2 linked regions of the Mytilus edulis genome follow. The protein of the gene in region 1 interacts with the protein of each later gene in a pairwise test. Links are inferred from orthologs where the notes say so. Each region holds a gene or a part of one and is shown on either strand. Other genes may lie near its edges.

Region 1 (9,878 bases):
TAAAGTATATTTCGACACCAAAAGCGCTATTTATTCCAGGCAACCCACAACATCCGATGGAAAAATCAATCAACCATATTACTCCTACAAGACTCTATTTAATAGAAGTAAACATAACCACATATCTTGGAGTTGAACTTGGCAATAAACTAATTAAACTAGAATCAACACATCACAAAAACGTAAATAAGGCCACCTTATAACGTTATTATATATAACGAAATTTACCCAATTGTCCGCAAAACATCAAGACCAAGTATATTTGGTACTAGTTAAACCACCTCTTGAATACAACAGCTCGGTAAGGGAACCCACTGGAAAAAGGATGTACATAGAACAAAGATGGCACAACACCATGCAGCGAGATTCGTACCAAGCATCTATCAATACCGAATTAGGACCTAGGATAAACATCATGTGACAGTCATACTAAAACTGTCCAACTTAGGGGAAAAGACGACAGCCGTAATGAGGCTAGTCTTATAACATTCCAAACCAGTATGTAACATCAAGTTACAACAGAGTTACTGCAATACTACACTATCTATCGAATACTAGACGACCAAAATACAGTCACTCCATGTAAATAATGTAGCCAAAATACAGCACTGTGGAGTATCAAAACATGGTTTACCCCTTAACAATCAAAGAATGGAATCTTGACAACAGGATTGACACAATTGAAGATCAAGAAAATTTCCAAAAATGAGACTGGTCAAATTTCTATCGAGCAATAGCCATAGACATAACAGCACACCTATACTACCATTGCATGAATTTACGAAGATCTAACAGGAAACTGGCTCGGACGTCGCCCAGTATAAAAAGGTCCGAAACAGACGTCACCATGGACACGGTGTCGTCTGATACGGCAGGTGTCCCCTCATCACCAGACATGACAAACATGACTCATTCAGATCATCGTCCTAGTGACAACAGCAATATTACACATATACAGCCATGTTCAGTTCTCCTTAAAGACATTTTGGTTTTTGATGACACAGTACAACACTGTCGCATTTCGAAATGTGAGACCAAAGGCTGCAAAACTTGTGCAATTTTAATTACAGATGCTGAATTCACTAGCAATTTGACCAAGAAGTCATATGTTACCAGAAGTTACGATGATCTGAATTGTAAATCGATAAATGTCGTCTACGGATTAGAGTGCAACCTTTGCAGATTGGTATACGTCGGTGAAACGAAATGAAGGCTAAACAAACGTATGTGCGGTCATAGATCAGACATAAGCCTCAATGCTAACGACATTCTATACCAGCATTTCAATCAGCCCGGTTATTCCATCGTTTCCATGACAGTTCGCATTATCGAAAAGATATACCATAGCTCTAACAATCCTAATCTTTCAACACTGAACTCTCCGTAGACAAAAAGAGGACTACTGGATTAGACAATTGGACACTGCGACACCTTATGGTTGCAATGACAAAATTGATGGTATAGGTATTTTATCTAGTCCTTCGTGTAACTCTATGAATGTGATGAATATTTTCAACTCGACTCCTCGACGTAGACGCAGTCATGGTCATCGTCATTATACATCACCTTCTCTGCATGATGTATCTATTAATGACTTGCTGCCATTTATACAAAAGCCGTTAGGTATTCATCACATTCGCACGAAACTTTATATTCATTACCCCTTTCAAAACTTCATTCTCTGTTCATTTTATGTTTGGAATCCACTGTTACAAACCCTCATTCAAACCAATACAAAATTACAGCTATAATTTCGGATATTGCAAGTCACAGACTTTTCAAGCCAGTCCGCATTGGCAAAGATGAAAAAGAGAAAAGATCGTTCCTTAATCTTTCCTTTGCCAACAAAGGTATCGATGGCGTCAACTTAGGCAATATCCTTCATCATAAATTAGTTCAATCGAAAATACCTCCTTATTTCAAAGACCAGTCTGTACCAATCATTTCTTATACCTATACCAAACCTATTTCAACTAAAATTACAAACACGTTTCGCAGGATCTCGATATTGACGACTTCAAGTCTAAACCTCCTGATTGCACTTGTGCTAGTTCCCAATTCACATATAATCCTGCTGGTCACGTTATTACCGGTGACCTCAACATTGTTAATAACACTTCTCTACGATGTGATATCGAAAGGTCCGAAATATCGTGACCCTAAATCCATAAATTGGAAATACAACTTTAAAATTTTGATGGATTCAGTTGAGGATTATGCCAGGCAATGGGCTAAGCGCGAGAAGGAAGACGTAGACACTCTTTCCGAATGGATTATGGCAGTGGGGTCGTTGATACAGAATTAAGAAACTGAATGGGTCTATCAATGCCCATGCTACGTCAATCTTTAAAGACCCAAATGTTGCAAAACACCTATCCTACCTCCATGACAAATATGTTGTTGTCCCCGCAGATAAAGCCCCAAACAACATCGTTTTTGTATGTAAAACTCATTACATTAACTGCTTGATAAACGAATTAGGTATTGACAATTCACTTGGAAACTCAACATATACCCCCACGACACTTACCAAAGAGGAAATCCTGAATAATCATAGGTCTGTTCTGTGTTTCTTTGGAATTTCAACCAAAGATGAAGAACTAGATCTGCCATCACTGTATTGGATACCTAAACTACATAAGTGTCCTTACAACAACGGTATATTGCTGGGTCTTCCAAGTGCTCCACAAAACCTCTTTCTAACTTATTAACATCTATTTTATCAGCAATGAAAGACGGGCTTCAAAGTTATTGTGAAACTGCCTATTCTAGAGGGGGCGTGAATCAGATGTGGATACTTAAAAATTCCAAAGATCTTTTAGAGTACATACAATCTAACTCTCTTTCATCTTGTAACAGTATTAAAACATTTGACTTTTCTACTCTGTACACTAGTATTCCACATTCCAAACTAAAAGACAAATTGAAAGAGTTGGTATTGCTTTGCTTCGTAAAAAAGAATGACCAACGTAGATACAAGTATCTTGTCTTAAGGAGGGATAAATCCTACTTTGTAAAGGATCACTCTGATTCGAACAAAAAATTCTCTGAAACTGATATTATCAAGATGCTTGATTTCTTGATTGACAACATATTTGTTACGTTCGGAGGACGTGTTTTCCAACAGACTGTCGGCATTCCAATGGGAACAAACTGTGCCCCTTTACTTGCCGACTTGTTTCTTTATTATTATGAGGCTGACTTCATGCAGGAACTTCTTATGAAGAAAGATAAGAAGTTAGCAATATCCTTTAACTCTACTTTTCGCTATATAGATGATGTTCTTTCACTAAATAATTCAAAATTTGGTGACTATGTGGAACGCATCTATCCAATCGAGCTAGAGATAAAGGATACTACAGATACAGTTAAGTCGGCCTCATATCTTGACTTACATCTAGAAATTGACAATGAGGGTCGGTTGAAAACAAAACTTTACGACAAAAGAGATGATTTCAACTTTCCAATTGTGAACTTTCCATTTCTAAGTAGCAACATTCCAGCAGCACCTGCATACGGGGTATATATCTCCCAATTGATACGATATTCCCGTGCTTGCATTTCCTATCATGATTTTCTTGATAGAGGGTTGCTGCTCACAAGGAAGCTAGTAAACCAAGAGTTCCAAATGGTGAAGTTGAAATCATCCCTTCGTAAATTTTTCGGACGCCATTACGAGTTGGTTGACCGTTATGGAATAACCGTTTCACAAATGATATCGGATATGTTCCTTACGTCGTAACTACATTCCCCTGCCCTTTCATGAATGTGACCTACCGAATTAGACTATTTACCGGATTTGTTATCACACAAGCAACACGACGGGTGCCGCATGTGGAGCAGGATCTGCTTACCCTTCCGGAGCACCTGAGATCACCCCTAGTTTTTTGGTGGGGTTCGTGTTGTTTATTCTTTAGTTTTCTATGTTGTGTCGTGTGTGCTGTTTGTTTGTCTTTTTCATTTTTAGCCATGGCGTTGTCAGTTTGTTTTAGATTTATGAGTTTGGCTGTCCCTTTGGTATCTTTCGTCCCTCTTCTATATAATGAATCCATTCATCATGTTTTTTTTTTAAACTCCACCGATCGAACCGACATCTATTAAAAAAAATGTAAATACACAATGTAAAGTAGTCCTGCAATCAGAATTTGACGGCCCTGATGCGGGATAAATAATCCTTTATTGACTAACGGAAGAAAACGTAGAGTATCGGGGCAACACGAACTTGCCCCACTGAAAACTATACCATGCAGTGATTACAGGTGCTTCGGAAGGGTAAGAATATACTGCTCCACATGTGGCATTTGTCGTGTTGCTGATGTCAGTACAGTCGACTCAGCATACAGTCATTGGACAAAAATGAGTTCCCACTAAAATAAATGTCCTATCATTTCAACTAAACTCAAATATTTAAAAAAAAAAAAAAAGATACCAAATAACTACATGAATACAGTAAAAATGAGTAAGATTTAGACATGTTTAAAGTTTAATTTTTATTTGGCCATGATATTATTCATGCTCATTTTAATTTTATGTCGAGGTGAACACAGAGTAAAAAAATCCCTTGAAAGCCACGGTTTGCTATATTTTCTTTTAAAACCAAGTCTTGATTAAAATCATAAGCAGCTGCAATTAATTGTGTTTAACCCATTAAATAATGAAACCAAAAAATACGGTCAAATAAAACAATAAAACTTCAGACATTTGTACATATTTAATATTGTATATATTTTATAAAACTCGCTCATACGGTAACTTTAATACTTGGTAATATATTTTGAAATATATCGATTTTAGTAAAAAATTATAGGACATTTTTAGAGTGCCACTTTTGTCCTATGCCGTTTTCAACAGTCGAAGCACTCTTTTTTTTTTACCTCAGTGATTAAAACGTTCTAATTAAACATGTTAAAACAATATATATTAGGTAAACTAGAAAATAAAAAATGACGGTCAAGTTCAATCGAAATTCATTTTCCTTCTCCGGACCATGTATAATCTGTAGTAGCATCTTACTATACCTATATTAGGGAATCCTAAAACTGAGTCAACCAATAAAAATGTGTTGTCCATTTTTGGTCATAAATGTTTCAATATTTTGCCAGTTCAAATCAATACTTCTAATAGCACCTTTATCTCAACTCAAAAAAATATATCTCAAATAAAACATTTCAATAAGCATGAGATAGAAAGCATATAGGATCATATGGTATTCAAAATTGGGAAATACCTTTAAAAAACGACAAGTCACGTGATTTCCGGTTTCTTTGTAAACATGGACGGACTTTAAAAACTGAAACTCTGTTTTCATTTAGAAGTAAGTTAAAGGTAAATATATACAAACATGTATTTCTTATTATTCTTACTGATGTTATTCATTTAAAAGTGTTGATACCGTGAACAGAATTCGGTCGAGATGAAGTTGGTCGGCCACTTTCTTTCCGGGGACCAAAGGGACACACCTGATGTTCCGGCGCTGGTCGACCGACAAAAAGTCTCATATTTTGATGTCTATCGTTCTTTATAAGTTCCCTAAAGAATGAAATGGTGTTAAAGTTGGTTCTTGTTTCCTTGTTGCAAGTGGGTGGATGTTTTGTGTTAAGAGACCACAAAAATATCCGAGTTGTTTATGGAGGTACAAACACTAAAACAGGTTGGGCACCTGTCAAAATTAGACACCTTATCAAGCATATCAAAGACGTTGGCTTTCTATAGCACATTGGTTGATACCACTCAGCTAAAATGATCCTTGTATGATTTCAAATGGTGAACAAGTATCACAGAATGCTAAAAGAGATAGCTTTGGAAATAGTTTCCAAAATGATAAGTTACAAGTATCCCTCCTTTTTGCTACATTTTGTATTTACCATTATATCTGAGACTACTTTAACACTATAGTAGTCTCAGCTTATATCCAGCAATACTAAAGGGTGCTGAGCCAATTTCATTTATTAACATGATTAAGATAAATGTAGTATGAAACTGAAATATGAATAAAATGACACAATATTTTCAAACATCAATATGATGAATGTATAGTCTTAAGGTTCATGTGGACCCTATGGCTAAAATGGCCGTATTTTCACCTCAAAATTTACTCTGAGTACAGACAAACCTGCGCATCTGTAAAACATTTCAGGCATAGCATGCCCTAGATAAATGAAAACTTACCAGGATTTTGCCGTGCACTTTTTTCATTCCTCCAGAAGGTGCCAAAATAAACTAAGTTGGGAAACAGGTTTGAGAACTTCCCCACAGGTAAAAATTAAAGTGAGCATTTTTAATTGACATGGACATTAGATGGACAATAGATACCTGACAATAATTGGTTATTTAAACTGTGTACCTGAGTGGACCATATCAAGGTAAACTCAACTGTTTGTTAATTTTATCATCTTCTGCAGAGACGAAAAAAAGTGTACAGCAAAATCCAGTTAAGTTATAAATTTTCTCAATCATACAATGCATTTGAATTCTATTTATCTAGGGCATGCTATGCCTTAAAACTTTTTTAGATGCACAAGTTTGCCTGTACTCAGAGAAAATTTTGAGGTGAAAATACGGCCATTTTAGCCATAGGGTCCACATGAACCTTAAATTTTGAAAAATGCAATTACAAATGTTTTTTTTTAAATAGTAAAATAAATATTTAAATTGAGTTCAAAAGAAATTACAAAAAGAAGAATGGTTTTGTAATTCATCATGTCCATAATTTGATGATTGTTCAAGGTTGGTCATCAAACATGGCATGTCACCACATCATTAAAATAATATGATCTTTCAAAATGTAAAAAGAAATAAACTCTATAGAATGTAACATTCAGTTGAATCAACAAGGAATCATATTTTTATTAATAATGTTCTTATGAAAAAAAGCTCACACTACAGTACTTCGTCATCTAAAAATGATTGGGAGAAGTGACTTGTCCTTTATGTAATTGATAGGGAGAAATGTTGAGTTTTGAAGAGAAGTGACTGTTTGCTTGCAGCGCTACAATGATTATTTTTTTACAAATGCACTATAATGTAAAGGGCCACATGTATCTTAATGTAGATCACAAATTGGTTTTCAAGCAGGAGACTGTGAAGAATTAATTCTTAGGCCATGCATAAAAGATTGTCAATTAAATGTGTAATTAATTATCAAAGGTACCAGGATAATAATTTAATAACCAAACACGCATTTCGTCTACATAAGACTCATCACTGACATTCAGATCAAAATAGTAATAAAGCCCAACAAGTAAAAAGTTAAAGAGCATTGAGTACCCAAAATTCTACAAAAAAAGGTTGTGCCAAATACAGAGCTCTAAGGTAATCTATTCCTGGGGTAAGAACATCCTTAGTTTTTCTAAAAATTCAAAGTTTTCTAACAGGAAATTTATAAAAATGACCATATCATTGATATTAATGTCAACACCAAAGTGCTGAGCCTGACTAGTGGGCTGGTGATACCCTCAGGGATGTAACGTCCACCAGCAGTGGCATCGACCCAGTGGTGTAAATAGTTATCAAAGGTACAAAAATGTACCAGTATTATAATTTAATATGCCCGTCTGGTCTGGGTTTTTCCCCTCCAGGTCAACATATGGTCAAATTTGTCTCATTTAAATTTGATGAAACACATAGACAGCTAAGAACCACAACACAAGGAAGGAGCTCGATTTTAGTTTGTTAGTCATATTGTCCAGGAGCTCTTTTACTGGTCATGCTGATATTTTTAAAGAAAATAATGATTGTGATTTCCACTTCTTCAATACATTGTTGACACTTGACAAGGGACATTGAATGTTTGTAAATACTTAACATTCTTGATTAAAACAAAAAGCTTTCTTAAACCCATGTTTGAATTTTTGATTAACCACTTATTGATTAAATTTTATCATTAAATGGATTTATCAAATATTGAATGTTGAAGTAATATAAACATGATTAACACCATTTTCAACAATAATATAAGCTCTAAATTGTAAAATGGTCTGAAAAATGTTATGAAAAGAAACTAATATTGAATATCAATTACAAATGCATTTATTTGTTTAAACGACAGTGTACATGTAGTATGGTACAGGCTCGTAGCCAGGAATTTCCAGGGGGGGGGTATTTGGACTCACAAACTCGACTTTAACAGTCACAATTCGAACAGAACGTTGACTTTAACAGTGCTTATTTGTTTTCAAGGGGGTTTTTCCAACCCCCCTAGCTACGGGTATGTGGTATTCAATCAACATTGTTTTACATGGTCTTATCATTTCAGGGCCTTTTATAGCTGACTATGCGGTATGGGCTTTGCTCATTGTTGAAGGCCGTATGGTGACCTATAGTTGTTAATGTCTGTGTCATTTTGGTCTATTGTGGATAGTTGTCTCATTGGCAATCATACCACATCTTCTTTCTATGTCATCAAAACAACAAAATAGAAAATATTTACAAAAGTTTTATAAGTTTGGAAAGATCCCTCTTATTATCTGGAATAAGATAAAAGTTTTAGTTTAGACTCCTCATGCAATGATAAAAAACTTGTATTCTTATCAATGAGATACATGTACATGAGGTAAGCTCTTCAGTACAGGATGTACATGTAGGATAAAAATGATTGACATGTCATAACAAGGACACTCAGTTAATAAAAGATAATACATACATGACATATATGTACCAATAATATTCGTACATACTGTATTACTGTACACACACTTTGGATTCATTTATTTTCGTGGGTATAAATTCTTGTGGATTGCTGAAAAGTTCTATTTTTGTAGATATTTAATTTAAGAATGTTTAGTGGTTTTGTCAATCTCTGTATATATAAAGTGTATTGCAAATATGTTATTCGTGTAACATTTGAATTTGTGGTTCACCTGTAACCAGGAAACCCACAAAAATTGGTGTTCAACAAAAATAAATGAATTCACAGTAAACATGTATGTGTATAGTATATTATCAATTTTTATTTTTTTAGAAGAATCATGCCAACACAAGAAAGAATGGATGATGATAATGGAATACGTATGAAGGTTGGATATAGTGGGTAAGTAATCCTATTGGATAAGGGATTATTTCTATAAGACATATATACAGCATTCCAACAACTATATAAAAATCTAAGTAAATTTAAAAAATGAGACAACTCTCCTCAAGAGACCAACATGACACAGAAATTGACAGTTATAGGTCACCGTACAGCCTTCAACAATGAGCAAAGCCCATACCACATAGTCAGCTATCATGATAAATGGACCTGAAATGACAATGTAAAATAATTTAAATGAGAAAACTAGCAGCCTTTTTTATGTACAAAAAATGAACGAAAAACAAATATGAAACACAAAAACAAACCACAACCACTGAATTACAGGTTTCTTACTTGGGACAGGCGCATACAAGTACATACAGCAATGTACAGAATATGGCGGGGTTAAACATGTTAGCGGGATTCAAACCCTTCCCCTAACCTGGATAACTTCAGATGGAGACTGCCTTCAAATCTATTACCATGATTACAAAAAGAATGAAGTACTAGTAAATCATTTTATGTTAGCTATCGAATTCCCTATGATCATGATCATGTAAATTCTATTCAGTGATACAATAAATAACTAGGATATTTAATAGTTAGGTACAAACATGTGCAATCATTAGAACATTGTTGATAGTTCATGAACATAGTTATCAAAGGTACCAGGATTATAATTTAGTACGCCAGATTTTCGTTTTGTCTACATTTTTTGTACATAAGACTCATCAGTAATGCTCATATCAAAATATTTATAAAACCAAACAAGTACAAAGTTGAAGAGCATTGAGGATCCAATGAAAATAGAGGCAACTACCATCATTGCATTTGGGAATGACTATTTCATCACAATTTGTAACCCCTC
Region 2 (9,966 bases), on another chromosome or scaffold:
ATTGTAAATAGCGGGTAAAGACATAATGAAAGAGGAGCTGACTAAGACGTGACTGATGATGAATGTTCAGCACAAAAAACGTTGCTCACAGCATAAAATTGTATATAAATAAAATTCTTACTTTTTTCCATAAATGTTGGTCATAAACAATTTTAAACCTTTTTTACAATATAAATAAATTTTCTCACTAAAAAAAAATCCTTTTATTAACAATTATAAATACCAAAATCTATTCAATGTTTAGTTACTAATTTGTAATGGTTTAAAATTAAATCAAATAGTTGTCAGTAAAAGTTTAATAAAGGAACTGTCCAAGGGAGACAACAAAGATAATCTGCCACGGTTTCCTTTATCCAATACACCTCATCGCTATTTAGTCCACAGCATAAAATTGCAATCCGGGAAAAACAGTAGTTTATACAACTTCCTGTTTGGGTCAGGCCGCCGAATATATATAGAGGTCATCAGTAGTGAGCTGAGGGAGGAAAAACTTTAGAAAGCGATCATCAAGAAACTTTGATAGAGTATGATCCACTTTTCGAAATTAAAATTAAAGTAAAAAAATATTTTGTTTGAAGTATTTAGTATAATTTACGGTAGTTTAAACAGGTCTCATTAAAAAGTATCATGCATGGTGAGTTGTTTAAGCAGGTTCCCAGCTAGCTTCAACTGGATGAAAAAGTTGTGTAATTTTAGAACTTATCCTGAATGGAATAAATAGCGATTAGGTGTATTTACTAAGGGAAAATAAGAAGTTAGCAGTGGTACCAGTTTGCATTGGTACCAGTTTGCTTTTAGTAGTACAAACAGACATTGGTACGAGTTTGCAATGGTATGATCATGAGATAACTATAAATTCTATCTTAAAGATGTTTCATTTTTTGAAGTTTGAACAGAAGGAAATTTATATAGTCTTTCTTTTGGTAGAGGAAGCCAGAGTACCCATTGAGAACCACAACCTTTTACAGGAAAACTGCCAACTTAAGAATTAAAAGAAATCTGGTTTGTTATTGTTTAAAACAGACAAATAATGTGAATAAAGTTCAGAAATTATAGTTGAAAAGGTACTGGCATGGTGAAGCAAATTATTTTGTCATGATCACTCATCAGAAATACTTTCATTTTGTTCTAGACTATGCTCTTCAACAAAATTACCTTAAGAACTTTGACTGAATTTGTCTTAGTTGGTTCCGTATTCATAAGTATAGCGTCGATCAGCCAAGGTTTGAGATGCGCTGGTTTTTTTCTTGGCATTTTGGATTTCGTGGAGTGTTTTGGAGAAAGGAGATTATAAGATTCGGACAATGTCGGAAATAGCATGAAATATCCGGCTTTAGAAATAACTCCGTCTCTCTCTTTTTTTACAACTCAAGTCTCTTGGTTAAAAATACGCTCAAAATACACAAAGAAGACGCTCCCGACGATGACTAGGAATTAGAGACGGCTGTGTAATGGTAGTCTCATGTTTTGCTAACTGTGAATGATCTCTTTAAAAATAAAGTCTTTGTTTACAGCTTTTTGACTACCTGTTGAAGATCTCTGAAGATACGAACATGGTTTACTTTTCACAAATTTGACTTGGTGGAGACAGAGACATATTACGTAACGGTACCCAAATTGCACAGAGTACCCAAATTGCAATTATTTAGCAAAAGTAGCAGCGGACATCTTACAAGATTTCCTAGAGACTAAACACTTTGTATTTTTATGATTTGACACTATGCACATCTTTCAATATAGGTGAAAATATTTAGATTTTTACAAAACGTTCACAGTATTTATCAATAAATGAAGTGTTTACTGAAAAAGCAAAATGTACTGAAACGTTGCCATGCAACGTCATCAAAACGTCATCTTTTTAAAATGACCAAATACAATATGTTACAAGTATCCATTTAAATTTTTTTGTTTAGAGTAAGCATGGACTAATATCCAATTGTTCAAAATATTTGAAGAATTTAATCAAAAGCTCTGTTATTAGACTTTTGACAATGCAAATTTAAGCATGGATGCAATTTGGGTACTACTTATTTCAGAATCATTGATGATTTGGAGGTCAGTTTAGACCAATTTTTCTAAGATTCCATATGGATTAAAAATCAAATTGGTGTACCTCCATAATAAAGAAGGATACAGCTACAAAATAAACACAAAATGGACATTTTTTTCTTTATAATAAAAAAACGTAGATGAAAAAACTGTCAAAATAGGTGCAATTTGGGTACTGTCATGTTATACACATAGTGTACATATGTCTCTGGTGGAGAGTTGTCTCATTGGCACTCATACCACATCTTCAGGCTTATATCTATATAAAATTATTCATTTAGATTACTGAGAGTTGCCTAAAATAATTGCATAGCTGTGTATAATTTTGCTAGCTTATAAATGCTTAATTTGTTTACACACCTCAGTGGGGATATGGAGATGAATATTTTATATAATCAACATTGTAAATGGAGACTATTTTAAGTCTCAAGAATTGTAAAGAAACGGCAGATATTGAACTTAGACTGGAGTACATTCTGTCTTTTTAACTAACTGAAATAAATGAATGAACACTATCAAACGGTAATTTGCAAACCATTAGAAGATCAGCTATCTTGTCTTGATTGACGTACTTAAAGTCTTTGTCTTCTGTAATCTGTACATGTGCCCCTATCTGTTCTGTGTTTTTTCAGTATTGTTATTTTTATAACCGTGACGTATTCTGCGTTACTATAACAGTTTATCCCATTGCTGTTAAGTTTCTGTCGCTATCTTCTCCTCTCACATATAGAAAAATAGTATTGAACTTTTATTTTTCAAATAATCATGGCATTATCAAAATTGTTTTTTGCTGTTGTGAAATTTCTCGCGATATGGTTTACGCGTACGTCAATGAGATGGCAACCAAACGAAACGGAAAAAAAGCAAAGACATCTAGAGGTCAATAGACATGTTTTTGAATTTGGGTTTTGATGCTCCCAAGCGTTTTTGTTTTTTTATTATTTATTGTGTATAGCCTAATTTGGGCTTTCTAACCTTTTGATCTAGAGCATTCGACCGTATATCCGTTGTAGGTCATTCTCGAAAAAAAATTGTACAATGGATTCATTGTTATATTTCTCCATTATTCCAACTATTAGGAACTTTCACTGAATATTTAGAATCTAATAGTTTGTGCATCTTCTGTTTTACTGTGAAGTCTTTGTAATTTAGTGCATGCATTTATTTGTTGTCAGTTGTATAAGAAGTTCTCTGCCAAAACTTTTACAAATGAGGAATTTCCATTTCTATCTCTAGAATCTCTGGTATCATTTTGTATTGTGCCATGATCTTCTGTCTTCTTAGCACGGAATCGTCTTGTCTGATTTTCCTGTAACGATTCGTCCATTACTTTTACAACTTAAATAAAGGTCATTTATCAAATTTATTGAAATATGAACATCACGTAAAAGTCATTAAAAGTGCGAGTTTATAAGGATAATTATTACTGAATGCCTAGACTGATCTCCTGGGTAACCACTGTATGTCTCTACTTTACATTTGTATTTTAAATTCATACTATGTATGTTAATTTATTTGTATATGTCTCTATACCATTGTACTTTGGTTTACGAGAATAAAGATTTACGCATATTAAACGATTTTCTTTCAGTTAAAATTACTATGCTATTGAAATTATTGAACCAATGCATGAGTATACGTTTTTTTTTACATTTATTACTGACGAATCTATATCTCAACAAATGATTATGTTAAACAGTAATTGTTGATAGCAAGCTTAATAACTTTCGAGTTTGATACCAAAACGTGACATTGATAAACAATCAACACGGCAGAGCACGCGGAACACATGTAAAACGGCTGTAAGATAATTTGGTGTATTCAAGTTGTTCTTTAAATAAAAATCCTTTTTTTTTTTTTTTACTAATTACCTTCCAGTACAAAAGCCAAACAATGAATCTTGATGACTTTGACAGGTTTTATACTAACTTAATATATATATTAAAAGTAATTTACAATCAAAGTCTAGACCATGTTAGTATTCCTCCAATAGCATAATTTAAACATTTACATTTTTAAAAAGAAACTATTTAATACATTATTTAAAATCTAAGGAAGTTCTGTTTTCATATCTATAATAATTCATTATTTAAAATTACTAAATATAACTTACTTTTTACATACTGGGCATGCGGTATCAAAATGTCATAGAACTAAAACCGCTATATAGTGTATAATATTTTACTAGAGTTTAATTTTTGATCGATTTCGACTATGCCTCGGCCTACAAAGGAACTTTTTAAAAGTGTTGTGTTCACTTTTTGTAAGATATTATTGAGTCATGACCAATGTTTCCTTATTATTTTACACAATTACAGTGCATGCATGAGCTGGAATTGTCTTGGATGGTAATTGCAGCGGCCTACTTTGACTGAACATTGCCACGTGAAAAATCCCAACTTTTGCAAATTTTCGGTTTGAACAGAACAAAGTATCTACCCAATTTTGTCCAAATGTGGGGATATTTTTTTAACGATTATATTAAAACGACATAAACATTACTTTCTAACTTTTCTAGTCATATCTGTATCTGTATCTGTCGTGGATATGTCGTATAGTTACCAAATCTGGCTTTTAAAATACAACGGGAGGGAAGGCGCCGTCCAATTTTATTAAGATCATATTGATCTCTGATTTCGTTATATATGCAGTATAACGAAATCAGAGATCAATATTTTAATTAGATTGGGTATATGTACATGATGTAGTCATGATACCGAAATCAGAGATCAATATTTTAATTAGTTTGGGCGCCGTCGATTTACTGACGTTTCGCGAAGGCAGCTTTAAAGCTCTCTACACTTGTTGCGCGCACAATAGTGTCTTCTAGGTGGTTCCAATTTATTGTTGTGGACACACTGAAGGATGAATTTGAATGTTGCGGTGTTTTACTGGTAGGAATGTCAAAACACCTAGTATTGTTTCTCACTTGTTTTTCAACTAAGTTATTTGCTTGATAATTGTTAAACTTTTTAGCTGCATGTGATGGTTCTTCTTGGTCTTCCTAATTTGAGGAAGTCGTCTGGATCAATAGCAGGAACCAGCACCTCAACCACCTTGTACAAAAATATAAGTGTTTGGCTTGTGCGTTTCAGTTGTAATTCCTGTAGCTCTAATTTTGTAAGCATGTTTGTTATCCAGCCATCTTCTCTAGTTCTGTAATCGTCTGCCATAAATATAGAATGTCAGATCAACTGTATCAAAATATTTTTGTGATCTTGTATTATCATAGCTTCATCGATGACTTTGTTTTATTATTTTAATATGGAAAGTCAATGAATAAATTTCATTTAGAATCGGCACATATGTACAGTCAGAGACATATATACACATGTGTATATATGTCTCTGGTACAGTCAACAATAAATATGAGCTTGAAATAGCTCTTACTACCGACCTAAAAATGAACAGATGATCAAGCATTGTAAATAAGCCTGACAAAACTTCACAAGAGACAAAATGAAAAACTGAAAATAACAACTATGTCAACTATATATGTCATCTTACGACTTTCAACAATAAATAAAGCCCATACCCACAGGCACTTGTTTTCTATCCATGGCAAGATCTACGATGCCTATATACTTGCTCTCTATCCATGGCAAGATCTACTATCCCTTTTCTATCCATGGCAAGATTTACTATCCCTTTTCTATCCATGGCAAGATTTACTATCCCTTTTCTATCCATGGCAAGATCTACTATCCCTATATATCGATAGTAGTCTAGATCTTGCCATGGATAGAAAACAAGTGCCTGTGTCCGATTGTCAGTTTTCTCTACATTTTAAAACAGAGATATTATAAAATTGTATTTATACTAGTAATATGTCTCATTTTTATATCATTTTATCATTCTTATATATACTGCATGACAGGTCTGTCTCTAATTATTTCAACGGCCGATTCAAGTTGTACATAGTTAATTAACTCATCATAGATACCAGGACTAAATTTTGTAAATACATGCGCAAGACGCGCGTTTCGTCTACAAAAGACTCATAACTTATTATATGAATCTTTTATTATTTCAAAGGTTCCCGCCTTGGTGTACTTCAGAAATGCTTGTACATGTTGTATTGTGATTAAACATACTTGAATATTTCTATAAATAAGTCAAACAAACAATGAAAAATACATAGACTTTGCAGTTTGCAGAAAAAAACCCACTGCATATTGTTAATGTAAAAGCTACTGTCTAAAACACGCACCTGTCGTTTTGTTTCGAGATTATACTACACAATTTGTGACGTCAGAGGTAAATGTTCATTCATAAACAACATAACACCAACGGTGTGGAAATAGAAAATAAAAAGTATTAAAAAGCCCTTTGGGCTGTATTTTCATCATGTCACGTTCATCGAAGACTTTTTTGCATCAAGGATACAGTTTGTTAGAAGTCAAATCCAAGGTAACTTTTAGTTTTGGGTATTTCGTTATGACCTGGGTCACACCTGTTCAACAGCTTCATCCAGGTAACAATTTTATTACTTCGACCAAAAAAGCGTTATGACGATTTCGGGTTATTTCTTGCCGAACATTTGCAGTTCTATTTTACATTTATAGGGAATGGAGAATAGGAAAATTTTAACACTAAAATTTTCTAAAAATACACCCTTTTATGACAGGTCATTTGCGAAATTTGCATGCTTGAATACACATGTCACACAATGAGTCATTATTTACATATTTTCTTATCCTGACAAATTTTATGTATTAACAACTATTTCATCAAAATAAAAGATAATGGTAGGGGTGGGGGGATTGCACATAGCATAGAAAAAATGGGACTTAGTGTTGAAAGATCTCATTGATACTGTTTATAATAGTAAAGAAGCATTATATTAATTTTCAGTATTTTTTTTTTTTTAGAGTAAATAAAATTTAGCAAAGTGCTAATTTTTGCATTTTTTTTATGACTATTTTGAGCAAGTTGCAGGGCGCTGCACAAGTATCTGTATAGAAGCATTATATTTATTTTTAGTATTTTTTTTTTTAGAGTAAATAAAATTTAGCAAACAAGTGCTAATTTTTGCATTTTTTTATGACTATTTTGAGCAAGTTGTAGGGCGCTGCATATGTATCTGTATGGTATTTTCAGTCTAGAAACTTTTTAATAGTTTTAAAACAATGCTTCAAGATCTTGTTTTGATTTAATTATCTTCTTTAAAAAAAAAAAGAGGGCCATAATGGGGGTAAGTTCAAGATGAAAGATGGTAGAAAATCTTGCAAAATGATGTTAACATGGTTATGGGTAATTTTTGGTGCATGTATTTGACTATACATAAAATTTACACTGATTATGCGGTATGGGCTTGGCTCATTGTTGAAGGATGTATGGTGATCTATAGCTGTTAATTGTGTCATTTGGTCTCTTGTGAATAGTGAATCATCGGCAATCATACCACATCTTCTTTTTTATACTTTCTTCAAGATTATAAACAAATTTTAGCTGATTTTGACAAATCACCTTATTTTTTTGTTTTCTTTCCAAATTAAAGGTAACAATAATTAGTTGACACCTGGAACAAATCACAATGAAAATATTTTAATGAAACAAGCTAAAAATTACTGTTTGATGCCTGAAGGGACAGGACATTCCTACCCTCTTTAAACTTTTCTTATTGGAGCATCATTGATAAGTCTTCTTTAAACTCAATATGATAATGTTGCACTGTATACTTACTACCTAAACTTTACAGATTTTTTGGGTTCCTCTAGATCTGTGCATATGACGTGTATGATGTACATGAATATTTTCTTTGTTGGGATGAATATGTAAACAAACAACACTGATATTTTGTAAACAAATTTCATATTACATATACACATACCAATATACCATAGATTTCCTATGTATTTTACTATAATTTTATCAATTGTAAAATATTGTCATAGACTGGAACGTTTGACAGAAGGATTATTATTTGATGCAATTATATGTTGTAAACAGTTACATAGTTCTAATGTAAATACATGGTATTCTAGTATACATGTAGATTATATTCAGAGAGAGATTGAAATACCAAATTTTGACCAATCAATTGGTTCTTTATGTCAGTATGTTAAAAATAAACTATGTAAAAGTTTAAATCATTTTGGAATAAACTGAAGTATCAAACAATTAACTCTGAAAAAGGGAAGCTTGGTACTTGTTTTTCTATAAAAAATTGTTTTAAAAAAGAAAAATATTTAGAATTAAAAACCAATTGTTCAAAGAACAATTGAAGGTCTTTCCACAAGTTAAGATCTATTTTATTATCAAAATATTAAAAATCAATCTAAAATGTCAGTTCCTATGGCTTTATAATGTATAAATATGAATTTAAAGCAAAGGCCAAATCTAGAATGTGCAAATTACCTATGACCTTGATCTCAATTTCAAGGTCATAAACCAAGGATCTCAAATCAAAAGACCCTAGGTCTTTATTATATATGGTTAATGAGTTATATCACTTTACTCATAATTCTAAATATAAGATGGGCGAAAACTCCTATTTATTGTTTACGCACTCTGTCAACCAAAATTTATAAGTAACGGCATGTCGTAACTAACAATTTAGTGAAAATAAGATGTTGATATGTTGTAAGGTTTTGAAAATAAGTAAAAATAAGCCAAAATAAAAATTTAGAATATGACCTTGACCTTTGACCTTGACCTTATTTTATTTTTTTGGACCAAGGATCTCAAATCAAAAGACCCTAGGTCTCTATTACTTATGGTTTACCAGTTAGAAATGCATTTCACTTATATCAAATACATGAGGGGGAATAACTGTCATATGGAGTCTCCGGATAGCTTCGGTCGAAACTAAACTACTAATCCTGAAGATGTAACGAGCAATTTGGTAAAATAAATTTGTCGTAATCTTTTACGGTTGCGAAGGAGTAGTGGCCACAAGAAAAACAGTGTTTGGGGAGATAACTCTTACAACGTAAAGTATTTTGTTACGCGGTTGAAAATTTTTAAAGCGTATAAACTATACGATATCATATTCCAAATATCTAAGCGACATCTTTTGAAACATCAACAATACGCAAGAAAAAATTTAGGCGGAAGAAAAAAAAAAAAATAATAATCTGACAGAACAAAATCAATAGGCTAGGTCTTTCCACGGAAAGGTGGAAAGACCTAATTAAAAACTAAGAATTTATCCATGTTTATGTCTTGTAAGATGTTTTATTTCTTTCCTGTTTTTCAACATTTACATTTGGAAAGTTGAAATGTTTTAACTGAATGGGTAAATTTAAATTAATTATGAAAATTGTTAAAATTAGACCAATAACGGAAATTACTGCCCAGTTACAAACAGTACCAGGGGATAATTCATGATGATTTCTTTTTGAGTTATATGTTTCAGCACATGGATATTTGACTGGAACTTTAGCCTGGTAAACGTGTTGTAAATTGTGAAATATAAAACATATTAAAAATGACTCTCTTCTAAAGTCTTTTATTGATATAAAACCTTCTTACTTCTCACTAGACAACACTCCTGTCAGGTTTAATTATTATATATACAACTGTATGTGGATGAAAAATAAAAGTTCCCAAAACATTAACATGGCAGCAATTGCTTTTACAACCTTTAAGGCTTTGATTCAGTTGCAGCTGCTTGTTAACATTAATGTCTAATCTAACACTTTTTGTAATGGAAATGTAAATGTTTTGGATAATATATAGTTTGTTGGACTGTTGAGTTGTTTTTGAAAGAGGCTGTCCAAGTAAATATCAGGCAAATCTTATGATGTGGGTGGCACAACATAATTTTTTTCCCACTGAATTTTTGGTTCCAATGCAATGTTTATGTCATACAAAGGATATATATGTCAAAGATATTTTTGAATCAACAGTGGATGGCTCAGAAAATGATTTTAAAGTTCACTAACAATGCAACAAAATTTGGTACAAAATGAA

What was found.
Region 2: the proteins of protein kinase C iota type-like (region 1) and partitioning defective 6 homolog beta-like interact in a two-hybrid assay, tested with the Drosophila melanogaster proteins (2 studies listed by BioGRID). The link is inferred for Mytilus edulis from reciprocal best matches to the Drosophila melanogaster genes aPKC and par-6.

Annotation. Positions count from the first base shown.
Region 1 is NC_092356.1:9,159,258-9,169,135, reverse strand, and holds the start of protein kinase C iota type-like, read left to right. Parts: upstream 1-5,391; 5' UTR 5,392-5,585; coding exon 5,586-5,632; intron 5,633-8,959; coding exon 8,960-9,028; intron 9,029-9,878. UniProt on the Drosophila melanogaster protein: Serine/threonine protein kinase which is required for apico-basal cell polarity in the germ line as well as in epithelial and neural precursor cells, for epithelial planar cell polarity and for cell proliferation.
Region 2 is NC_092348.1:80,171,519-80,181,484, forward strand, and holds the start of partitioning defective 6 homolog beta-like, read left to right. Parts: upstream 1-6,274; 5' UTR 6,275-6,396; coding exon 6,397-6,459; intron 6,460-9,966.